Diceros bicornis minor: one gene and its partner. The protein of the gene in region 1 binds, or shares a complex with, the protein of each later gene. Links are inferred from orthologs where the notes say so. Each region holds a gene or a part of one and is shown on either strand. Other genes may lie near its edges.

Region 1 (11,937 bases):
TCTGATCTCACTGACTTCTGGGCAGCATCTAACCCCAGGAAACACTTCCTCATTCTTTAGTCCTCTCCTCCCTTGGCTTTTCCAGATACCACACTCTTTAGCTTTTCTTCTCTCCTCATTGACCCCTTCTTTTCAGACTCCTGCAAGGAATTCTTTTCCTATGTGTGTTCCTTAAATGTGACTGGCTCCTCAGGAATTTGGCGAGGGCTGCTTCTTTGCTCACTCTCCACCCTCTCTCTGGGCAATCTCACCCATGCCCATAGCTTCAATTACCAGCTGCAGCTGACGACTCCTAAATCAATAGCTCCAGTCTAGACCTCTCCTTCCAGTTCCACACATGTATGTTCAACTTCCTACTGAGTATCTTCTCTTTAGCAGCCCACACAGGCACCTTAAACTTAACAAGGCCCAAATCAAACATGTCATCTCCTCCCCTTACCTGCATCCCAACCCTAACAACAGTCCTACTCTACTCCCACTGTCTCTTTACGATCCCATCAGCCATCTAGTGGCCCAAACCAGAAACCTAGACACCAGCCTTGATTTCTTCCTCTCCCTCATACCCCTCATCCAGTTACTCACCAAATCCTTTCAATGCTACCTCCTAAGTTTTTCTTGAATTCAGCTTTTTTTCCTGCTGCCATTTCCCAAGTTTATGCTAACATCATCTCTTGCTTGAATTACTGCAATCGCCTAAATCAAGGGTTGGAAAACTATAGTTTGCAAGCCAAATGTGGTTCATCACCTTTTTTGTAAATGAAATTTTATCAGAACACAGGCATGCCCATTTATTTACATTTTGTCTATATCTGCTTTCAAGCTATAATGACAGAATAGTGGTGACAGAGACCATACGGCCTGCAAAGCGAAAAATATTTACTATCTGGTCCTTTACAGAAAAAATATGCCAGACTAAATGGTCTCCCTGCCTTCTCTCTCACCTCCCTCCAACTCATTCTTCAAACCACAACCAGAGTGATCTTTCTCAAATTAACCCACAAATTCCTCAAATCCACAAAGTCAAGGAAATCCAATCAAAATACAATAGGATTTTTTTACGGAACTTAAGTTGATTCTAAAATCTGTCTGGAAAAGAAAATGCCTGAAAACAGCCAAGAAATTTTTGAAAAAGAAAACAAAGGCAGGCCAGCCCCGTGGTTTAGCGGTTAAGCGCGCACACTCCACTACTGGCGGCCCGGGTTCGGATCCCGGGTGCGCACCGAGGCACCACTTCTCCAGCCGTGCTGAGGCCGCGTCCCACATACAGCAACTAGAAGGATGTGCAACTATGACATACAACTATCTACTGGGGCTTTGGGGGAAAAAAAGGAGGAGGATTGGCAATAGATGTTAGCTCAGAGCCGGTCTTCCTCAGCAAAAAGAAGAGGATTAACATGGATGTTAGCTCAGGGCTGATCTTCCTCACAAAAAAAAAAAAAAAAGAAAACAAAGGGAAGACTTGCCTAACCAGATATCAAACATGCTCTACAGGTATAGTAGTTAAAACAGTAAAGTATTGGTGTGAGAAAAGACAAAACTATCAATCAAACATACTAGAATGTCAAGAAACAATTTAGGATACAACAAAGAATGGCCTATTCAATAAAGGCAGTTGAGCCAACTGTCCATCTATTTGGAAAAATAAATAAATAAATATGGATCTCTTCTTCACACCTCAATAAAGTCTAAATGGATTAAACAAAATAAATATAAAAAAGAAAAGTAAAATGTTGGCAGAAATCAGAGAAGAATATATCTTGATCCTCAGAGCAGGGAGGCCCTCAAGCAAGACAAAGCCATATAATGGAAAAAAATGGTTAAATCTGACAACAAAAACATTAAAAATTTCTGCATGCTAAGAAAATAAAACCAACAAGTCAAAAAAAGTGATAGAAAATTTAAAACATATATAAAAGATAATGATTACAAGATAGATTATATTAATAGACACTTAAAAATCAGTAAGAATTCTTCTTGGGATGATGAAAATGTTCTAAATTGATTGTGGTGATGGTTGCACAAGTCTGAATACACTAAAAACCAGTGAATTGTATACTTTATATGCGTAAATGGTATAGTTTGTGATTTATATCTCAATAAAGCTGTTACCAAAATAAAGAAAACAAACAAATGACAGAAAAATGGGCAAATGATATACATAAGTAATTGACAGAAGATATACAGAGAGCCGATAAACATACGAAAAAATACGCTCAACATCGCAATCATGGAAATATGTATTATAATGTGATGTAATTTTTTGCCTCTCTGCAAAAGAGTTTTAAGAGATTCTATCCAGCACTGGAAAGGTGTGGGGAAATACTATCAAACACTATGGAGAGGGTATAAACTGATACAATCCTTTTTGGAGCACAATTTGTAGGACCTACTACAATTTAATGTGTGGGTACTCTTCAAATCAGCAATTCCATTTCTAGGTAGTTCCCTATCCTAGGGAAATATTCTCAGATATGCAGAAGGGTGAGGATAAGGTGAGTATAAGGATGTTCAGTGAAACATTGATTATAACAGTAAAAAATTAAAAAACAACCTAAATTACAGTACATATGGAACACTATGCAGCAGTTAAAAAGAATAAAGGACGTGAATATGTACTAACATGGAAAGCAGACATAACGCCAAGAGGAAAAAGGAAGTACGAGAACTACGTGCCAGCTGAAGAATACTACTCAGCAATTAAAAAAAAGGAAGTTCTGACATACACAACAACATAGATAAATCTCAAAAACATTTATGTTAAACAAAAGAAAACAGTATACAGAACATATATGATTCCATTTCTATGAAATCCAAATATTAGTCTATGGTGATAGAAAACACTTAGTGGTTATAAGAGGATGGACTAGAAAGGAGCACAAGAGAACTTTCTGGGAGAATGAAAATGTTCTGTATCTTATTTTGGATATCAGTGACATGGTATATACAATTGCTAAAACTCACTGAATTAATCTTAAGATCTGTGCATTTTATTGCATGTTAAATATATATATATCTCCTATCATACTATTCTTCCACTTAAAATCCTTTAAATGATTACTTGTCACCCTAGGATAAAGTCCAAACTCCTTAGCATCACTCACGGGTCCTTTATGACCTAATCTCTATCTCACTCTAAACCAGTGTCCTCCTTGAAGTGCTAGCCCAGCAGTTCTCAAAATATGGTCCAGGAACCCCTGGGGTCTGTGAGGTCAAAAAATAAATACGACTAAGATGTTATTTGCCTTTTTCACTCTCATTCTCTCACAACTGTACAAGGAGTGTCCCAGAGGCTCTATGATATGTGATGATATCATATAATTAAACGTGTCAACTGGAATATCTGTGTAACTCAGTAACGGATATTTTCCAAATGACCAATTCATGATATGATAAAATCATGCATGGGTAAAAGATATATTCAAAGTGCAAGAGAGAGACTAATGGATTTTAATGTAATGGAGTATAAAAAGTTGATTCATGTGGTTTCACATCACCTGTTGAATTTTAGTGTATCAAAGAAGAATATGCAATTATCTGAAAAGTTTATTAAAGTACTGCTCCCTTTCCAAACTAAATATTTGATGTGTGAGGGCAGATTTTCTTCATACACTTCAACCAAAATAGCCTATTGCAACAATTGAATGCACAAGATTTGAGAATTCAGGGGCCAGCCCCACGGAGTAGTGGTTAAGTGCGCACGCTCCACTGCTGGCGGCCCGGGGGGTTCGCAGGTTCGGATCCCGGGCAGGCACTGATGCACCACTTGTCAGGCCATGCTGTGGCGGCATCCCGTATAAAGTGGAGGAAGATGGGCACGGATGTTAGCCCAGGGCCAATCTTCCTCAGCAAAAAAAAAAAGAGGAGGACTGGCATGGATGTTAGCTCAGGGCTGATCTTCCTCACACACACAAAAAAAAAAGATTTGAGAATTCAGCTGTCTTTTATTAAACCAGACATTAAAGAGATTTGTAAAAACATAAAACAATGCCACTTTCCTCACTAATTTTTTTGTTTTGGAAAATACAGTTTTCATTAAAATGTTATTTATATTAACACGTAATGGCTTTATTTTTTGTTACTTTTAAATAAATTCATAAATATTTTTAAATTTCTGTTTTCATTCCTACACTGGTAAATATGGATAGATGAAAAACATATAAACAAAGCAGTCTCAATAATTTTTTTCTTGGAGTCTTTTCTTTGTTTCTTTGTTGGATTGTCACCGGGGACCTTTTCAGTTTTGCCCAGTGGATCAACAATTTTTAAGAGTATAAAAGGGTCCTCAGACCAAAACTGCTGCTCCAGCCATACTCAATTATTTTCATCATCATGCAACTTTTGCCTCCCAGCCTCTTCACATGCTCTCCTCCCTGCTTTGTACAGCCTCATCAACGCGCCTAGCTAACTCCTACTTACCATTCAGGTCTTGGTTTAAACATCATTTCCTCTAGAAAGCCTTCCCTGATTCCTCAGACTGGATCACGTACCCCTCCCATATACTCCCATACTACTGCCCTAACCTAGATCATAAACCCATCCTGCGACCGACTGCTTATTTATATATCTGTATCACCCACCAAATTCCTTCTGCGCTGGGATCAGGTCTTGTTCACAGCTATATCCCCGGAGTCTGCGGCACTGTCTAGCACATACAAGAATTCAGGAATACTTCTTGAGAGAATAAGTTAATGTAATATTCATCATAACCAACGAAGCGTTATCTTTTATTTTGTGTGTGTGTGAGGAAGATTAGCCCTGAGCTAACATCCGTTGCCTATCTTCCTCTTTTTGCTGAGGGAGATTGGCCCTCAGCTAACATGTGTGTCCATCTTCCTGTATTTTATATGTGGGACACCTGCCACAGTATGGCTTGATAAGTGGTGTGAAGGTGCACGCCCAGGATCCGAACCTGAGAACCCTGGGCCACAAAAGCAGAGCCAGGAACTTAACCACTACGCCACTGGGCCAGCCCCCAATGAAGCATTATTATTTTTACGAGAAAACTAGGGCTCAGAGAAGTGATGTATTCAAACAAATTCACCTAAAAAGTATGAGCTGACAATTGTACTCCGAGTCTTTTACCTTCAAACCCTCACTCTCTGGAATAGGTGGGGCAGTTTACCTGGGAACTAATGGCATACTTCAGGTAGGACAGGATGAGAGGATTGGGGGAAGGTCCAATCATAGCCTGCTCCAGTAGTGCTTCTGCAAGCGGAATAACAAAGCAAGACTGAGTGGTTACAACTTTTCTGAGTTTAGCCCTCCCATCCTTCCTTCCTATTTCACTTGAGAACCTGCTAAGTTGAGAATGTCCCAGGTGGCTCCCTTGGGAAAGAATTTCTTCATGTTGATTGCCCACTGGTAGTCACTCCATCGCTCCTTCCAGGCTTGCAAAATGGCTTGCTTCAGGTTCACCACCTTCATGATTTCACTCTGAGGAGGCGGGGCCGGTGGCGGTCACCTTTGAGGTGGGAGAAATCCAGCTGGAGAAGAGAAGAGGAGATTCTGAGGAAAAGAACAGGGGAGGGCAGAGTTAAATGCAACGGAGAAGATACAAGAAGATTTAAGGGAGGCAGAGGAACTAGAAAGGAAAAAAGGGGAAGGGGGCAAGGTAGGGATCCTGTCAAGTTCTTCCCTCCTGAACCATCCTTCCTTAAACTGAAGCACTAAGAAGAGGGTGTCAAACGGGCTTAATACAAAGAGTAAATAGGGCAACAAGGGGTTAAGCCAAATCCAGTTTCCTAATTACGCCCTTAGCTCCGGCTGCGTCCCTCAGCCAGCACCACCTCGAACGCACATTCCCTCCCCCCACCCCCATTTCCTCCACCTTCCCTAACCCTAAAACTACAACTCCATATTTCTTTTTCATCCACCACTTGCCCAAATGTAAGCCTACCGGACAATCAAGCCCTAGATCCTAGGTATCGCCATTTTGGCACTTATCAAAGGGCTAATTTTCTATTGGCTGGGAATAATAAACATGAACCAATAGGAATGTAGCAAGAGACCGGTCACGCCACGATGCCTTCTGGGAATTGTAGTTTCCTGGACTGGGCTAGCCAGGAAGCTAAGGGACTAAGCTAGTAACCGCGCATTGTTTCTCTCCTTTAGGGAAGGACAGGGAGAGGCTGAAGCATCACGGAGACTCAGACCGCTGAGCGGGGAGGGCTCTCGAAAAGCGGTTCGCGATCAGACGTGGCCCAATGACGTCACTGTCGACCCGGCCTTTAAATTATATTCCGACACCCTTTCGTTACCCGCTACTTAGTAGGCACAGCTAGTGTGTGGCGTTGATTCAGCAATACGTTTTCTTTTTCCTGGCCTTTTCTTGCTCTCCTAAACCCCTGCGCCTATCAGAGTTGTTCTCATTGCCACACCTGTATTCCAGAAGCGACACTGAGGCTTGGTCAGTTGCACACACATAACTACTTCACCCCCAAATTTGGCAGTCCTCCCAGAATCTCCTGGCCCTGCAACTGCTTGAATACAGGGAGAAGCAAGGAGGAAAGTAAGGAGGAAACTGAGGTTAAGGTTATCAAAAATAAGGAAAGTCTGAAAAACCGTCATAGCCAAGAGGGCCTAAGGAGACATGATGACTAAATGTAACTCGGTTCACTGGATGGGATCCTGGAACAGAAAAAGAACATTAGGTGAAAACTAAGAAATATAAATAAAGCATGGACATTAGTTAATAATAATGTATCAATATTGTTTCATTAATTGTAACAAATGTATCGTACTAATGTAAGATGTTTAAAAAAGGGGAAATTAGGTGTGGGGTATGTAGGGATCCTCTACTATCTTCAAATTTTTTCCTGTAAATCAAAAACTATTCCTAAAAATAATGTTTCTTAAAAACAATGTGATGTCTTGGGCTGGCCCCGTGGCTTAGCAGTTAAGTGTGCGCGCTCCGCTGCTGGCGGCCCGGGTTCGGATCCGGGCGCGCACCGACGCACAGCTTCTCCGGCAGTGCTGAGGCCGTGTCCCACATACTGCAACTAGAAAGATGTGCAGCTATGACATACAACTGTCTACTGGGGCTTTGAGGGAATAAATAAATAAATAAAATTAAAAAAAAAAAACAATGTGATGTCTCACTTATCCTTTGGAACCATATTGTAGATAATTATGTCCAGGGTTTAAGGCATTAGCTCTTGTTCCCCCACTTCCCACCCCACAGTGGGAAGCCCAAAAGCAAATGCTACCCACATCTGGCGCCAACATCTTTTTTTTTTTTTTAACTTTATTTATTTATTTTTCCCCCCAAAGCCCCAGTAGATAGCTGTATGTCATAGTTTCACATCCTTCTAGTTGCTGTACATGGGACTCGGCCTCAGCATGGCCAGAGAAGTGGCGCATCGGTGTGCGCCCGGGATCCAGGCCCGGGCCGCCAGCAGCGGAGCATGCGAACTTAACCGCTAAGGGACAGGGCCGGCCCTGGCTCCAACATCTGAGCCTCCCTATACACAGCCTTCATCCCTGCCCTGTCCTGTGGACAAGTCGTCCCTAACATTTACAACTACGGACAAGAATAATCATGGAGTCATCCGCCCAATGTCCTGCCACCCCTATTTTGAGCCTTCCCATCCCATACCCCCATGAGTCCAAGATCCATCCATATTCCCCAACGACCATTCTTTGGCCACCCTTTCAGTGGTAAAATCAGTCCTCAGAAGGATGAATCCGGGAGAGCAGCCTACTCAGGCTCTAGAAACAAACTTGTGGCCCTTAGGGCAGAGAATAACAGGATCCTGAGTATCTGGAGCATAGCCTAAACAGGGAGAAAAGGACTCCTGTTCTGAAGGGGAGACTGCAGCTGGAGGAGGGCCAAGTCACATCCCTCTAAGGTCATTACTGCCTATGGCCTTTTTCCCTCCCCATACACCCACCCATACCCCCCTCCATTCTGCTCCCTTTTGTGCCTGCCCAAGTGACACCAGTGGTGAATAGTGTTTATATAAAACAGCTGCCAAATATGTGTAGCCAAAGCTTCCAAAGCAGGAAGGAGGGAGAACCCATACTCCTCATATTTAACCTCCAAACTCCCCCAGCCACACAGACACACTTGAGACGCCACCAACCCTGTTTCTCTGCAGTCTCTCACAAATCTGGGCTCCCTTCTTCTCCCAGGCCCCTCACTCTACCTTGCCGGCTCTCTTCCTCTCATTCTTTTCCTGCTCCTGAAGCCAAGGGTCCCCTACCTTGAGTCATTCCTGGATCCTACAGCTCCTTTCCCATCCCTCATAGCCCAGACTGCCCCTCTTGGAGAGAGGCTGTCAACTTTGTGACTGTTCCTAACCGAGTTAGTAGGTGTTGGGTCCAGTCCACATGAGAGTGGGGAATACTTGGGCCCTGAGGATAGTGATATTCTGAGCTCAAACCATCCCCCTCTGACAGGAAGGGTGGTAGATCTCTGGGGGGGAGGATGCCTCTTCCCCACTTTACAGTGACAGGGAAGTGGCTTTTGTAGTCAGGCCATCTGCCTTCCCTGTCCCCCCACCTCTCACCAGTAGTCCTTTCTCTAGGCTTGGCAGGGTTTCCCCAAGGACTGGACTCCTAAGGGAGTACAAGGACTCTCTTAGTTCTGGGCAAGGGCCATTTTCAATTTCTCTACTTTGTCCTGACTATCTAGTCTGCAAATATCAGAGACAGCCTTTCCCGTACACCACCTCTTCCCTGCACAACACAATAGCTTCCTAGGACCCGCAAGCTCTCTGGCTTGCTGACCACAAAGACGGGACTCTATGATGATCCTCCACTGTGTGAGTGAAGAGATGCTGACATCCCTTTTGGCTATACAAGGAACTCTCCGCCCATACAGCCCCTCTCAAAAACCCCTCTTACTTACTCCACTTTCTTTTGCTGTCCATTTCTTCTCCCTCAGCACTGATAGCGGCTGAGCTCCCACCTCTGCTCTCTTAACCCTGAGCCCTACCCTCTTCATCTTGTTGGCTGATCTGGCTGGGGAAGGGGTCTGGCTAGAGAAGAAGCACAGGTGGAAACCAGCCAGCCAGAGTGACATGGCAACACTGGAGCAGTAGCAGCAGAGGAGCTAGGCCAGAGTGGGGACTTGGGTTGGGGTAAGAGGCTGGGAGGAACAGGGTTTTTTGTACTCAAGGGGACAGGGACATTCATTATCTAGGCTAGAAAGAAGTATCCATGGCAGATTGGTTCCAGGAACTCTCGCATATACCAAAATCCATGGATACTACACTTACACTATAAAATGGTGTAGTACATTGGGCTGGCCTGGTGGCGTAGTGGTTAAGTTCACGTGCTCCATTTCAGCGGCCCGGGGTTCGCAGGCCCAGATCCTGGGTGCAGACCTATGCACCACTCGTCAAGCCATGCTGTGGCAGGTGTCCCACATAAAATAAAGGAAGATGGGCACTGATGTTAGCTCAGGGCTAATCTTCCTCACCAAAAAAAAAAAAAGGTGTAGTACAATGAATACAGTCAGCGCTCTCTATCCTCGGGTTTCCCATCCTTGGATTCAACCAACCGCGGGTACTAAACCTGCGGACAACAAGGGTCAACTGTATAAGGAAAAGTGGCAAGAGTCTATACCCAGAAACACTGAAATACTTGGTAAGCATACAAGGCACAGAAGGTTTCAGCTTCCCTTCTCTCCACAGGGAAACTGAGTCATTCCCCTCCCCTAACTGGAACATTTTCCTTTGGAAGCTTGCCTGGGTCTCCCCACTATGGGATGGGGAGTTAATTGGCAGCAGGTGGATGGGGAAAGAAAGAGTCGTTCCCACACACTCATACACAGCTGGTTCCAAATCAGCTCCCTTCTCCCATCGGTCCCCACATCAATCCCTGCTTTCTCTCTATCTGGGGGAGAGGAGAATGGGGGAGAGACCTACATGGTGGCCCCACCTCAGGGACAGCTCCTGGACCCCCCAAGTTCCCTGTCTCTATCTTCCCACTGCCCCCACAGAAGAGCTCCAGAAAGAGACCAGCCAGGATGGTGAAAAAAAGAATTTGAACCAGTCCTTGGAGTATTTCTTCTCTAACACCCTGAAGGATGCCTTCCCTCTCCACATTCCCAGCGCAAAGAAGAAGTGAGGGGGCTGGCCCCGTGGCTTAGCGGTTAAGTGCGCGCGTTCCGCTGCTGGCAGCCTGGGTTCGGATCCCAGGCGCGCACTGACGCACCGCTTCTCCGGCCATGCTGAGGCCACGTCCCACATACAGCAACTAGAAGGATGTGCAGCTATGACACACAACTATCTACTGGGGCTTTGGGGGGGAAAATAAATAAATAAAATCTTTAAAAAAGAAGAAAAGAGGGGCTGCGATCCTGAGGACTGGACAGTGGCAGGGAAGGGAGGCCAGTCTGCCATTTCTTTTTTTTTTTTTTCTGAGGAAGATTAGCTCTGAGCTAACATCTGCCAATCCTCCTCTTTTTCCTGAGGAAGACTGGCCCTGGGCTAACATCCATGCCCATCTTCCTCTACTTTATATGGGACGCTGCTACGGCATGGCTTGACAAGCGGTGCGTTGGTGCGCACCAGGGATCCGAACCAGCGAACCCCAGGCCGCCGCAGCGGACCACGCGCACTTAACCGCTTGTGCCACAGGCCTGCCCAGGCTGCCATTTCTTTTGCACCACCTCTCCCTCCAGGCACTGAGAGCTACTCTATCCTCTTGGCCTCCACACCAGCCTGTCCCATCATCCCCTTTAACTGGACCGAGAGGGCTGCAGTGTGGTAAGGCCCAAACTCTATGGTAAAGGAGACTGCCCCCCGTCTCTCCTTTCATCTCTCCTCCTGGCAAAGGCAAAGTGAAACCAGAACCTGGCACATAATAAATGCTCAAAAAAATGAATGAATAAAAGTAGGAGAAACCCTGAAAGACAACCTGGAGAAGGTGTCGGCTTCTTTTTCCACTTCTTGCCTCAGCTATCAAAAACAAGGCTCAGCCAGGCCTGAGTCCCTTCCCTGGCTACCTCATTTGTGATTCATAACCAGGGCACCTGATGGGACAAAAGTGATTGACAGGGGGGCATTAAGTGGCCACTTTACTCTTAGCAGGGCAATTGTTGGCTAACTTCCCAGTCTTTCATCTTTGCTAGCCACTTGATCCCCAATTCCCATAAAATGGCCCCCCTTTCCTCCATTTCCACCATTTTTTCTTGATTGAAAGATCACTAAAGGGTGAAACACCTGGGTTTGAGGTTCTCTTAGCTGGTGGTTCCTCAGTTTCCTCTGTTGTCTTTTTTTTCCCCCCCAAAGCCCCAGTAGATAGTTGTATGTCATAGTTGCACATCTTTCTAGTTGCTGTATGTGGGACACAGCCTCAGCATGGCCGGAGAAGCAGTGCGTCGGTGTGCGCCCAGGATCCGAACCCGGGCTGCCAGCAGCAGAGCGTGTGCACTTAACCGCTAAGCCACGGGGCTGGCCCTCCTCTGCTGTCTTTCCAGAACTCCCCAATAAGGGGGGCTGTGTCTGCAGAGTCAAGGGGTGTCTGCTGGACACCTTATCACTTGCTGACATCACCCAGAGCCCAGGTGGTCAAGAGGAGATGGGGGAGGGGAATTATTGAGGCCCAGGCCACAGAGCTAGTTCCAGGGCAGGCTGGTAGAGGGACTGTCCCCTGTTCCCCCAAACTGCTTGGGGCTTATTGGCAGGGGTAGAGGATGCTGTGTGGGGTCTTGGCTTCCAGGCTTATAGGGGAAGCTTTTCAGGAAGATATCTGGATCCCCTGGTTTCTAGGGGTGGGAACATTGAGAAATCTTGGGGTGCTTCCTAGCAACAATCTGGGAGGGAGGGAAGGAAGAAGAAAGAGAAGGAGGGGCTTGGGCATAGCTGCTCCTATGGGAGCCCAGAGAACAGGCTGTTCCTGCTGCCTCCTTGGCAACCAAAATCTAAGAGGGAGAGGGCCAACAGGCATATCCCCTTGGAGGGTCTCTATCCATCCTCACTTGTGCCCCAC
Region 2 (11,335 bases), on another chromosome or scaffold:
CAGGGTCTGCCTTTTGTGACCCAACAACCCCTCTTCTGAAAGTCGCATCCACAGAAACACGGAGGGGCAACAGGGCAGAACGCACGACACCGTGGACTTGAGTTCAAATCCTGCCTGGGCCACTTCAGCACTGTGAGATGTGAGTCTCTCTGACCCTCGGTCTCCCCGTCTGGACCTCAGAGGTCCACGGTGAGGATTCAATGACTAAACACATGTAGAATGAGTCAGCAACCTTTTTCCGTAAGGGGTCGGACACCCCACATTTTCAGCTTTGAGGGCCAGGTGGTCCTGTTGTGACTACCTGGCTCGTCCTCTGTGTTTGTAACGCAGAAGCTGCTGCCAATAAGATTCCGCTGACAAAAACAGGTGGGGGCTGCATTTGGGATGGGGTTTCTTTTGCGGTGATAGAATGTTCTGGAATTAGTGGTGATGCCTGCACCACACACGAAACGCTTAATTGTGTACTTTAAGTGGGTGAGTTGTAAGGCGTGTGAATTTTATCTCAATAAAGCTGTTACAAAAGAGAGACAGCAGCCCGTCCTGAGACGCTCACGGGGTGGCATGAAGCCCGGGCTGCGCACACGGCAGCCACACGCTGACAGGACCGTCCCCGGGCCCCGCACTGGGCCCTGAGGGAGGGACAGGAGAAAAGATTACTTCCTGATTTGAACTCAGGCGCCCCCTGACCCAGATGGCTCCCACTCTTAACGGCGATGCTAGGTCAAATCACAGGGTACAGAGAGAGAAATTCTGAGATATTACTGAATTAAAGGACAGGCTGGGTTCTGAGAACAGCAGCCATCAGTTAAATGGGCAGCTCACTGAGGACAGCAGCCATCAATTTAAATAGGTGGCTCACTGAAGAGAACAGCCACCCCTTAAATGGAAGGCTCACTGAGGACAGCAGCCATCAGTTAAAAAGGTGACTCACTGAGGACAGCAGCCATCAGTTAAATGGGCAGCTAAGGACAGCAGCCATCAGTTAAAAACGTGACTCGCTGAGGACAGCAGCCATCAGTTAAATGGGCAGCTGAGAACAGCAGCTGTCAGTTAAAAAGGTGACTCCTCGAGGACAGCAGCCATCAGTTAAATGGGTGCCCACTGAAAACAAAGGTGCTAAGTGACAGCTTGATGGCAGGTATGAGCTGGGCCCAGGGCTCCCAAAGCCAGAGGATGCTGGTGGTGGGAGAGGAGCCAGGCTGGCAGGTGGACGGGCAGGGTAAACAACCTCGTCCGCCACACCTGCTCACTTGGGCCAGACACCCACCTTTTCCACATGCAGTGCCAGCTTCACACCGTTGTGCAGCCAGGACAGGGCCACAATGGGGTCCCCCTCCACCAGGCTGCCCACGTGGCTCTCCCAGCTGTTGGCGAGGTGGTCCGCCATGCTCCAGCACTTGATCTGCCCATCGGCATCAGCGGACAGGAGCCGGGAGCCTGTGGGGGCAAAGCTGAGTCACGAACCCCCAGCAGAGAAGCCAGCCTGGTGGACACAGAGCAGGGGAGTGGCACAAGGCATGTTCCGGAAATGATTCTGGACACGGGGAATGGGAGGAGCAGTGGCTTTGCCACAGGTCGAGGGTTCGAGTCCCAGCTCTGGGCACTGGGGACATGCCTGGGGAAAGACAGAGCATGCTGCTCCGGGAGCCGGGGTCGAGGGGCACACGGGCGTCTCCCCGGGCCGCGCAGACCCCAGGCCCACCCTCACCTGACTGGTCCCACTCGAGGCAGGTGATGGCCTCACTGTGCTCCGAGCTGACGGAGTGCACGTCCCAGGGGTGCTCCGTGTCCAGGATGTGGATCATGCGGGTCAGGTCTGTGGGGGAACAGGGCACCATCAGCACAGCAGCAACGACACAGCCCCCAAGCGCCCGACCACCAGGCGGCTCAAGGAGGAAGCCAGTGGACGGCCCACCCGCAAGGAAGTCACAGAGCCGCCGCCAACCATGCCAATGCCCCGGGGCAATGGAGGACCAGGCTCATGTCCCACCTGGAGACCGGAGCGGGCCTGTGACCATGCCACCAGTGCGGCTATGACCACGTTTTTAAGAGAGACACAGAAAAGAGAATTGCAAGAAAATGACCCCAAAATGTTAACAGTGAGCGTCTCTCCGTGGAAGGTAACGGCTGGTTGTTTCTCTTTATCCTGAATTTCTGTGCTTTTCTGGTTTTCTCTGACGACGGAGAGAAGACAGCAACTGCCATGCACGTTAGACGCTACATTAAAGACGAACGATGACATGTTTGGTCCAGAAGACTGGGGATCCCGCCCCTCACCCCACTCCATCCCGAAGGGTGATCCCAGCATCCCCGGGCACCGGGCGTGGGAGCGCACCACAGCTGCCCTGTGCACCCTGCGGGGCTGGGGCCGTCACATCCCCAGGAGCGGAGGGCCTGGACGGTGAGGGTGCTCCCTGGCAGGCCTGGGGACCCTGAGGACCCCACAGCAGCACTGTGGGGGCCAGGCTACGACACTGTGTCGGGGGGCCGGGGGCGTACCCTGGTCGTCATTCCGGAGATCCGTGGTGAAGGCGATGAGGTTTCGGCAGGACCAGGCACAGGCCAGGGGCACCGACGGGCAGTGGGTGCTCTTGGGCCATTTTTCCCACTCGCAGACGTAAGCCAGATCCATGGTGCCCGCCTGCCACGGCTCCCACGGCGAGAACAGTCACCAGCTCCTGGGGGAAGGAGGAGGGCTGGCTCGTCATCCACGTTCACGGAGAACCTGCAGGGCACCGAGTGTGGGACAGGACGCCAGGTGACCACAGGGAGTGTGTCTAGTGAGTGTCTGTGTGTGTGTATGTATGGGGGCCGTGACAGGGAGGCCTCACCAGGGAGAGTATACTGAGCGTGGGTATGAGGGAGCGAGGCAGGCAGATGTCTGAGGAAAGAGCATTCCAGGTGGTGGGAACAGCCAGTGCAAAGGCCCAGAGGCTGGATGGAGCCCTGTGTGTTCAGAGAGTGGCTGGCTGGCCGGAGTGGCTGGAGCAGAGTGAGTGAGGGGATGGGGCAGGCCGTGCAGTGCCCCGAGTGAGGTGGGAGCCTTGGGAAGGCCGTGACCCATCTATGTTGCAACAGACCCTTCTGGCTGTCTGGAGTGCGCAGCTAGGGGATGCAGTGGGGACTGCACTAGTCCAGGCGGGCAACGACGGGGCCAGTGGATACTGCAGGGAGAGGTGGGACCCCCCGTCTCTACCAGAAACATGCAAGAGCACGGTGGTGCTGTCTCTGGCTGAGATGGAGAGACAGGTGGGGAGTGGGCAGCTTACTGGGGGTGGCCGGGTGGCTCTCCACATGCCCAGCCCAATTATAGGTTGTTTCCTTTCACCACAACAGAAACCCAATGAGATGGAACAACCACCTACCCCATTTCTTTCAACCACCACCCCTAGGGCACCCTATTCTTCCAGCCTCGCCCCAGAACACCAATGTCCTGCCCACAAGCCCTCAATCCCCATCCCCTACATTCTTTGCTTTCCCAATTTGCCCCCCGGAGCCCCCAAGCCCGGCCTAAACTCTCGGGCTCCAACCCAGGGACCCCAAACAACCCCCAGGTCCCACCCCCAAGCCCTCCAGCCCCGCCCAACACTTTTTGCTTTCCAGACTGCCCCACCAAGTTCTCCAGGTCCTGACTCTACTTGCCCCCTGGAGACCTCAGATCCCACCCCAGGAACCCTACATGATCCCCAAGCCCCGCCCCCAAACGCCCATGCCCACCCCCAACGCGACCCAGGCACCGCCCCTCAGGAGATACACTCTCCAGGCCCCACTCCCAAGAGACACAATCTCTCGGGAGCTACAACCTCCAGGTTCTGCCCCCAGGAGTTACAACCTCTAGGCTCCGGCCCCAGGGAGCTACAACCTCCAGGCCCCGCCCCCCGGAGTTACAACCTATAGGCTCCGCCCTCGGGAGCTACAACCTCCAGGCCCCGCCCCTGGGGAGTTACAACCTATAGACTCCGCCCCTCAGGAGCTACAACCTCCAGGCCCCGCCCCCAGGAGTTATAACCTCTAGGCTCCGCCCCCAGGAGTTACAACCGCTAGGCCCCGCCCCCCGGGGGTTACACCCGCTAGGCCCCGCCCCCAAATAGCCCAGACCCCGCCCCCGGGAGTTAGAGCCTCTAGCTTCCGCCCCTCAGGAGCTACACCCTCTAGTCCCCGCCCCAAGTCGCCCAGGCCCCGCCCCCAGGAGTTACAACCGCTAGGCCCCGCCCCCAGGAGTTACAACTGCTAGGCCCCGCCCCCCGGAGTTACAACCTCTAGGCCCCGCCCCCAAATAGCCTAGGCCCCCCCTTCATAACCCCAGCTCCCCGAACTCACCGCGACCCCCACTTGGACTCATGCTTCCCCTCAAGTCTCGGCCACAACCCCCGAGCCCGCCCAGCGCGCGCCAGCCCGCGTACCCAGCACCCTTTGCTCTCCAGACCCGCCCTCTGACCCCACAGGCCCCGCCCCGGACCCGCGAAGCCCCGCCTTCTCCGGGCCGTGCTCTCCGGGGCCGCGGGCGCCGTCCGGAAGCCGTCTGACCCCCGGGCTCCGCAGCCCCGCGCTCACCGGGCCAGCCGAGCGCCCAGCCGAGCAGACGGCCCGCACTCGCCCTAACGCGCCGGCTCCGGCGCCGCCATCCTCCCCGCGACCAACAAGACGTCCGCGCAGCGCGGCCGCTTCCCGGAGGCTTCTGGGACGGCGGCGGCTCCTGCTCTGCCGGCTTCCGGGTTATTTGCATATGCTTATTAATAATTCCCAGCAGCCACCTGAATTGTATTTGGTAGAACAAAGAACACTTTCTCAACTCCGGTGCGTGACCCCATTTGGCTACGCTATGTGTTGCGCTGATACCTAAAAAATAAGTGAGTTACTGAACTTGCTCAATGAAATTCACCCTTAGTGTAAAGTTATTGATAGTTTGCACTATAAATATCTCTCTGGGTAAACTGAGGTTCGTGCTCGCTTCGGCAGCACATATACTAAAATTGGAACGATACAGAGAAGATTAGCATGGCCCCTGCGCAAGGATGACACGCAAATTCGTGAAGCGTTCCATATTTTGCGCCTTGTTTTTCTGGTATCCGCAGGTAGAGAAACTTTTTCTGATATCTACGGGTGGGGAAACTGAGGCTTGATAAGCCAAGTGACTTACCCAATCGAGGGCCCTTCTGGCTGCAAACCCCATCCCGGACTCCTCCAAAAGCTGGTCCCATTCGCATTTGCTTTACATTTCTTTTTTTTTTTTCCTTCTATTGAGGTCACATTGGTTTACAACATTGTATAAATTTCAGGTATACATCGTTATATTTCGATTTCTGTGTAGAAGACACAGTGTTCACCACCCAAAGACTAGTTATCATCCGTCACTGTGCACCTGTGCCCCTTTACCCGTGTTACCCTCCTCCCACACCCTGCCTCTCTGGTAACCACCAATCTCCTCCAAATTTATGTGTTTGTTTATCTTCCACATATGAGTGAAACCAGGCGGTGTTTGTCTTTCTCTGTCTGGCTTATTTCGCTTAACATAATACCCTCAAGGTCCATCCACGTTGTTGCAAATGGCATGACTTCATCTTTTTTATCACTGAGTGATATTCCATGGTGTGTATATACCACATCTTCTTTATCTATTCTTCCCTTGATGGGCACTTAGGTTGCTTCCAAGTCTTGTCTATTGTGAATAACGCTGTGATGAACATAGGGGTGCATGTATCTTTATGTATTTGTTTTTTCATGTTCTTTGGATAAATACCCAGCAGTGGAATAGCTGGATCGTATGGTATCTCTATTCTTAACTTTTTGAGGCATCTCCATACTGTTTTCCATAGTGGCTGCACCAGTTTGCACTCTCACCAGCAGTTCGTGAGGGTTCCCTTCTCTCCACATCCTCTCCAACACTTGTTGTTTCCTGTCTTGTTAATTATAGCCATTCTGACAGGCGTGAGGTGGTATCTCAGTGTAGTTTTTATTTGCATTTCCCTGATAGTTAATGATGTTGAACATCTTTTCATGTGTCTGTTAGTCATCTCTATGAAAAATGTCTGTTCATATCCTCTGCCCATTTTTAAATTGGGTTGTTTGTGTTTTTGTTGTTGAGTTGTGTGAGTTCTTTATATATTACAGAGATTAACCCCTTGTGGGATATATGGTTTGCAAATATCTTTTCCCAATTGTTAGATCATCTTTTCGTTTTGTTCATTGTTTCCTTTGCTTTGCAGGAGCTCTTTGGTCAGATGAAGTCCCATTTGTTTATTTTTTCTTTTGTTTCCCTTGCCTGAGGAGACATGGAATTCGAAATGATGCTGCTAAGACCAATGTCAGAGAGTGTACTGCCTATATTTTCTTCTAGGAGTTTTGTTTTCATGTCTTACATTCAACTCTTTAATCTATATTGAGTTAATTTGTGTATGGTGTAAGATGATGATCTATTTTCATTCTTTTGCATGTGGCTGTCCAGTTTTCCCAACACCATTTGTTGAAGAGACTTTCCTTTCTCCATCGTATGTTCTTGGCTCCTTTGTCAAAGATTAACATGTGCACATAAGTTCTTTTTTCTCAGGATTCCTTTGGCTCTTCGGGGTCTCTTGTCCCATGCTTTACATTTCTGTTTTTCATAGCTGGGGAAACTGAGGCTCTGATAAACATGGTGACTTGCCCAGTCGAGGGCCCTTCTGGATTCAAACCCCATCCCCAGTTCCTCCTCCAAAAGCTGCTTCTATTCCTGCCCGACTCTCCCCAATTGGAAGGTCTTCTCCAGGAAGCCCTCCTGGGATTGCAGGGAAGGGCACACTGGGCAGAAGGCACTGCCTGGGCAAAGGCCTGGTTCTTGGGAACGGAGCTGGGGAAAATGGGTGGAAGGAAGCCCACCGCCCCACAGTGGCAACCGCGAGACTGGAAGGGCAGCCAGTGGGCGCCCCCAGAGGCCCCGCATGCCCGCCCTGCGGCCCAGCCCTGTCCCCTGGGAACTGGGAATTCGTGCCCTTCACAGACGGGGCCTCCCAGCTGGTGACCCAGTATCTCCTTTTGTCCTCCTCCCAGCCATTTGGGTTTCCCTCCTCCAGCATCTATCTTTAAAACTTTGTAAATGTCCGTTCACACGGAAGACAGCGCCCCCAGCGCCCCACGCTGGCTTCGAATCCGGGCCCGGGTGGGAGGAGCCGCGCACCCTGAAGCCCAGAAAGTCAGGCCGGACTCACAAACTAAAAACCCCACCGGGATGGGGGCCTCCGAGAGACAAGGAGCTGCTGAAGGAGCTCTCGGCCGCCAAACCCGCAACAGTCTGAGCAACGAAATAAAGTGATGTTGGATTATAACCCAGACCAGAAAGTAAATACCCCCTCGAGCCTCGTCGTGTATGTGGTTGAATAAACACACGTGGAGAAGAGACAGTCCTCCCCTGTGGAATTCCCAGTAAATCAGGCAGAGGCTCTGCCCTCATGAAGACCGCTTCCCGAGGACAGTGTGGAGGGGCAGGGACCCCCCAGTGCAGGGCCCGAGTAGCGCCCCTCCACCAGGAGGTCAGGGTCCCCGTCAGCAGGGAGAAGCCGCGAGGACAGCAGGGACCCCGATGTGGCGCGATGACAGGGCACGTCCCTTTGTCCGATCATGAGAAAACCCAGGCTGGGGACGTCCTGCAGGACACCGGCCAGTCCCAGACACACGCAGGGAGAGTCCACGTGACGACGGAGGCAGAGATGGAGGGACGCGGCCACAAGCCCAGGACGCCTGAGCCTCAGAGGCTGGGAGAGGCGGGAGGGAGCCTCCGGAGGGAGCACGGCCCTGCGACACCGTGACCTCAGATGTCTGGGCTCCAGAACTGGAGACAGTGTATTCCTGTGGTTTTAAGCCTCAGTGTGGGGTACTCTGTCCCCAGGAAGCTCACACGAGTGACTTTTTGGAGGTCACACAGCCGGGAAGTGGCGGAGCTGGGTCTGAACCTGGGCTCCCGGGAGGGGGACGAGCCAGCGGGGCAGAGCGAGCCCCCGATGCTCCCGGCAGTCTCCCCGGACACCCGCCTCACCCCTGGGGCGTCACTCAGTGCCAAGCCCCATCCCCGAGCCTACAGCCTCAATGACCAGGACCCCAGCGATCCCGAGCCTCCTGCGCCCCCAGCCCCGCACCAAAGGGAACCCCACAGCTGAGACAAGAGCACCAGAAATTTATTGACTCTCCACTCTTCCCAAAGCACAGCTAGCCACACACCGGGGGCGGGGGGGGGGCAGCCCTGCTCTCGGGGGCCGGGCCAGGCCAGGTGGCCCGCCGGAGGACACCCCAAAGCAACAGGCTGGGGAACATGGAAAGGGAACCGGGTAGTCCAAGGGCGGAGGCTTCTGGCTGGAAGTCCCGGACTCCCAGTAGGAAAAGACGGGAGAAAAATGGGGAAGGGCAGGGTATACAGCAGACAGGGCCCCAAGAGCCACCAAAAGACACCAGCGGGGGACAACACACATTCCAAAAAGAGAGTAAAACCAGCCTTTAAAACGCAGCTTCCGTCCTGGGTCGTGGGGCACGCGCACGCACACACAAGACGTAACACTCCCAGGGCGGGGGACGAGGCCCCAGAGACCCCCCCCATCCAAGCCAAAAACTGGGAGGGGGGTGTCAAGCAGGGACTGGAACAAAGCCCCCCGATTTATCAGTTGGGGCGAGTTTGGTTTTTCTTCCCAAAAGGGAAATTTAAAAATCTACAACAAATCACACCAAATTCATTAAAAGTGATAAAAAGCCAGCCTCTCCCTCCTCGCTTAAGCCTCAGACTGGACGGAGAAAGCTGAACGAAGAAGGAACATGGAAGTGACCAGGCCCGGTCTCCCCGCCCAAATACAAGTCCCAGAGCGAGGAGCTATGGGGCCTGGAAAGGCCAGAGCAGCCCCAGCCACCAGAATTTATCTGGAAGGGCTGGGCAGGGAGGGGGCTGGGGTGAGAGAGAGCCACCCCAAGGGGAAGATGACGTTTCCAAAGACGAATTCTAAAAATAATGAAGATATTCTGGCGGGTGGCACGGAAGGTCCGGTGCCGGGGAGGCGGTGGGCGGGGCCCGGCGGGCCGCCATCAGCTGCGCTGCTCCAGGTAGGCGGAGAGGAGCAGCCCGGGCGGCAGGAAGTCCAGGTGCCGATTGCTGACCTTCATCTGCCGCCTGCCCTCCAGGTCAGCACCTGCGCGAGGCGCCAGCGGGGCGAGTGAGTCCCCACCTTTGCAGAGAAGCACCCCCGGCCCGGCCCCTCCGCCCGAGTCTGTGGGAACAAAGGCGGGCGTGGGGGCCGCAGGAGGCATCCAGAGGTTGCCATGGAAACCGTCTCCTTAGCAACTCCGGGCAGGAGGCGGAGAGACAGGCGTGGGGAGCGAGGACCCGATGGGGCGCCCAGGGCCAGCAGGGGCCTGCGAGGACCCTCCCTGGGGGGCTGTAAAAGCGGGGACACAGGCCCCGGCAGGGGGCACTTGGTGGAAGTCACACGTGTGGCACAGTGGAGGAGACAACGGCTAAATGAGAACGCTGCAGACACTGGGGTCCCCTCATCTCATCTCAGGGTCCCTGGGGGCCCAGCCTCATCCCCCAGGCCCCTCTCTGCTCTCGGCCCTGAAGAGGCGGACTGAGGGGTGTCTGTGGCCACAGCGTCACCCAGCGTGGGGCCAGGCGCACAGGGAGCTTCTGGTGAATTAACGCAGAGCCACTGCCAACCCTCTGCTCCCGTGGAGGAACCAGACCCCGTGTAACCCCGGCCTCGGTGTCCCCGGGCTCAATCGGCCAGCTGGGGTCTGGGGGCCGCCAGGCACTTACTGGCCGAGATGAGGTCCATGTACTGGCAGACGGCGTGAAGCAGGAGCCTCTCGAAGCTGTGGAGGAAGGGGCGGTGAGGGGCCGAGGGCCAGAGCCGGACACCCGGGGATCCCGCTGTGCCCGCCCCAACCCGGTCACCTGTTGTCCAGCATGGCCGTGTACACGGCCTGGGGGGACACGGAGAAGAACCTGAGCAGCCGCTCCTCCCAGGTCTCCAGCGTTTCCTGCAGGAGAGACGGGCCCCGGGGTCAGGCTGACTGTGGGACCCTGGGCAGGCTGTCCAGGACCCCCAGGCCCAGGGCAGAGTCCAGAGTTCAAAGCCCTGGGTTCAAATGTGGCCTCTGACCTGCTACATGAGGCTACCTGTTTCCGAGGATACTAGGTACTTAGACATCTCCATATCTTTGAACGCCTGCACCTTCTGCCTGGTGAACTTCTACACATCCTACAGTGCCCACCTTCCTTGCCCCTGCCACTCCCATCCTCAAGGAGAGCCCTTGCCTGGCCCTGGGTCCTACACTCTGATCACACTGGTCTGTATCTCGCCCTGTCTCCATGACACCATGGCACACCGGGTAACCAGTCTCCCCTCGCCCCACCCTCAGTTGAGAAGTTGGGGTAAAAAGGCCATCAAAAAAGACCAGGCGGGTGGGGACAGAGGAGGCCCAGCCTGGTACTCACCATGGGGATGCGGCTGCGCTTGAGGATGGCTCGCAGACGCCGGCTGATGCGCTGGAAGCACTCGCGGGGCGTGTAGGCCGGGTCCTCTGCAAGAGTCCAAAGTGTGGGGCAGCCGGTGAGGCCGGCCCCCGGCCCCAACACACCAGGCCCCTCCCCTGTGTCTCCACCCCACCCACACCAGGCTCCTCCCCACCCGCCCCTGGGCCCCGCCCACACACCAGGCTCCTCCCCCAGCCCCCAGCCCCGCCCACAATGCTCGGCCAGGCCCCATCCGCCCCTCCGGTCTCCCAGCCCCTTCCAGGCCCGCACCTCTCCGCCGGTCCTCCCCCCGGCCGGGCCCCCTCCTCCGCGTCTTGCTCCTGCCCTCATCCTCCAGGTAGCGGAGCACCCGCTCCTGCTCCTCCCCGGAGCGGTTCATGAAGTCGTTCCAGACCTGCAAGAGAGGCGGGCAGGTCCAGGGCTAACGACTGCGCGGCTCTGGCCTCAGGTTCCGCATTCGGCCAGTGCACACGGAGGGCCCCACGTGCATGGAAATACTCCTTGTGGACACGCTGGCCCACTGGGCCCGCCAGTTCATGGGGCACCTGTGGACCCACCTGTCTGGGGCGGGGCATCCATATGGACCAAATGCACCCCTGACCGAGTAAGTAATTCCAAGTGATGAGCAGATGAATCACGGGCACTGGAAGGTTCTGGGGTGGGATGTGGACCCCAAGGGAGACGGAGGGGGCATTCATCAGGGGACCAGGGGGGATGCGTGCTCCGGTGGAGGGACCAGCATGGGCAATGCCCAGGGGCAGGAGCGAGAAGCAAGAAGAGGCCAGTGCGGCCCGAGCAGAGGCAGCAGCGAGGAGGGTGCGGGGCCCACCTCGACGTAGGTCTCATTGC

The links.
Region 2: the proteins of MED24 (region 1) and MED16 are in contact, whole or in part, in a cryo-EM structure (PDB 7EMF), measured with the Homo sapiens proteins. The link is inferred for Diceros bicornis minor from reciprocal best matches to the Homo sapiens genes MED24 and MED16. Residues at the interface, in NP_055630.2 of Homo sapiens: Ile539, Leu540, Asn541, His544, Pro545, Glu593, Arg629, Met630, Leu631, Gly632, Leu633, Asp634, Glu635, Asp676, Gln679, Gln680, Thr681, Ala682, Pro702, Pro703, Lys704, Arg705, Pro706, Ile707, Lys708, Glu709, His737, Met738, Gly739, Gly740; in NP_005472.2 of Homo sapiens: His29, Cys30, Pro31, Ser32, Arg52, Asp54, Asp55, Gln56, Glu82, Asp102, Val126, Glu127, Gly128, Asp129, Pro130, Val184, Ser185, Leu187, Thr203, Glu204, Ser205, Cys207, Arg208, Leu209, Arg210, Gly211, Arg212, Asp232, Gly233, Ser234.

Annotation. Positions count from the first base shown.
Region 1 is NC_080757.1:39,629,056-39,640,992, forward strand, and holds the start of MED24 (mediator of RNA polymerase II transcription subunit 24), read right to left. Parts: upstream 5,938-11,937; 5' UTR 5,897-5,937; intron 5,693-5,896; exon of another isoform or gene 5,506-5,692; 5' UTR 5,425-5,505; coding exon 5,295-5,424; intron 5,206-5,294; coding exon 5,123-5,205; intron 1-5,122. UniProt on the Homo sapiens protein: Component of the Mediator complex, a coactivator involved in the regulated transcription of nearly all RNA polymerase II-dependent genes.
Region 2 is NW_026691553.1:468,304-479,638, forward strand, and holds the start of MED16 (mediator of RNA polymerase II transcription subunit 16), read right to left. Parts: upstream 4,653-11,335; 5' UTR 4,555-4,652; intron 4,340-4,554; exon of another isoform or gene 4,321-4,339; intron 2,726-4,320; exon of another isoform or gene 2,679-2,725; 5' UTR 2,633-2,678; coding exon 2,500-2,632; intron 1,817-2,499; coding exon 1,709-1,816; intron 1,438-1,708; coding exon 1,268-1,437; intron 1-1,267. Other genes in the region: R3HDM4 (R3H domain-containing protein 4), read right to left, coding at 9,040-9,143, 9,767-9,822, 9,905-9,990, 10,448-10,533, 10,757-10,880, 11,316-11,335. UniProt on the Homo sapiens protein: Component of the Mediator complex, a coactivator involved in the regulated transcription of nearly all RNA polymerase II-dependent genes.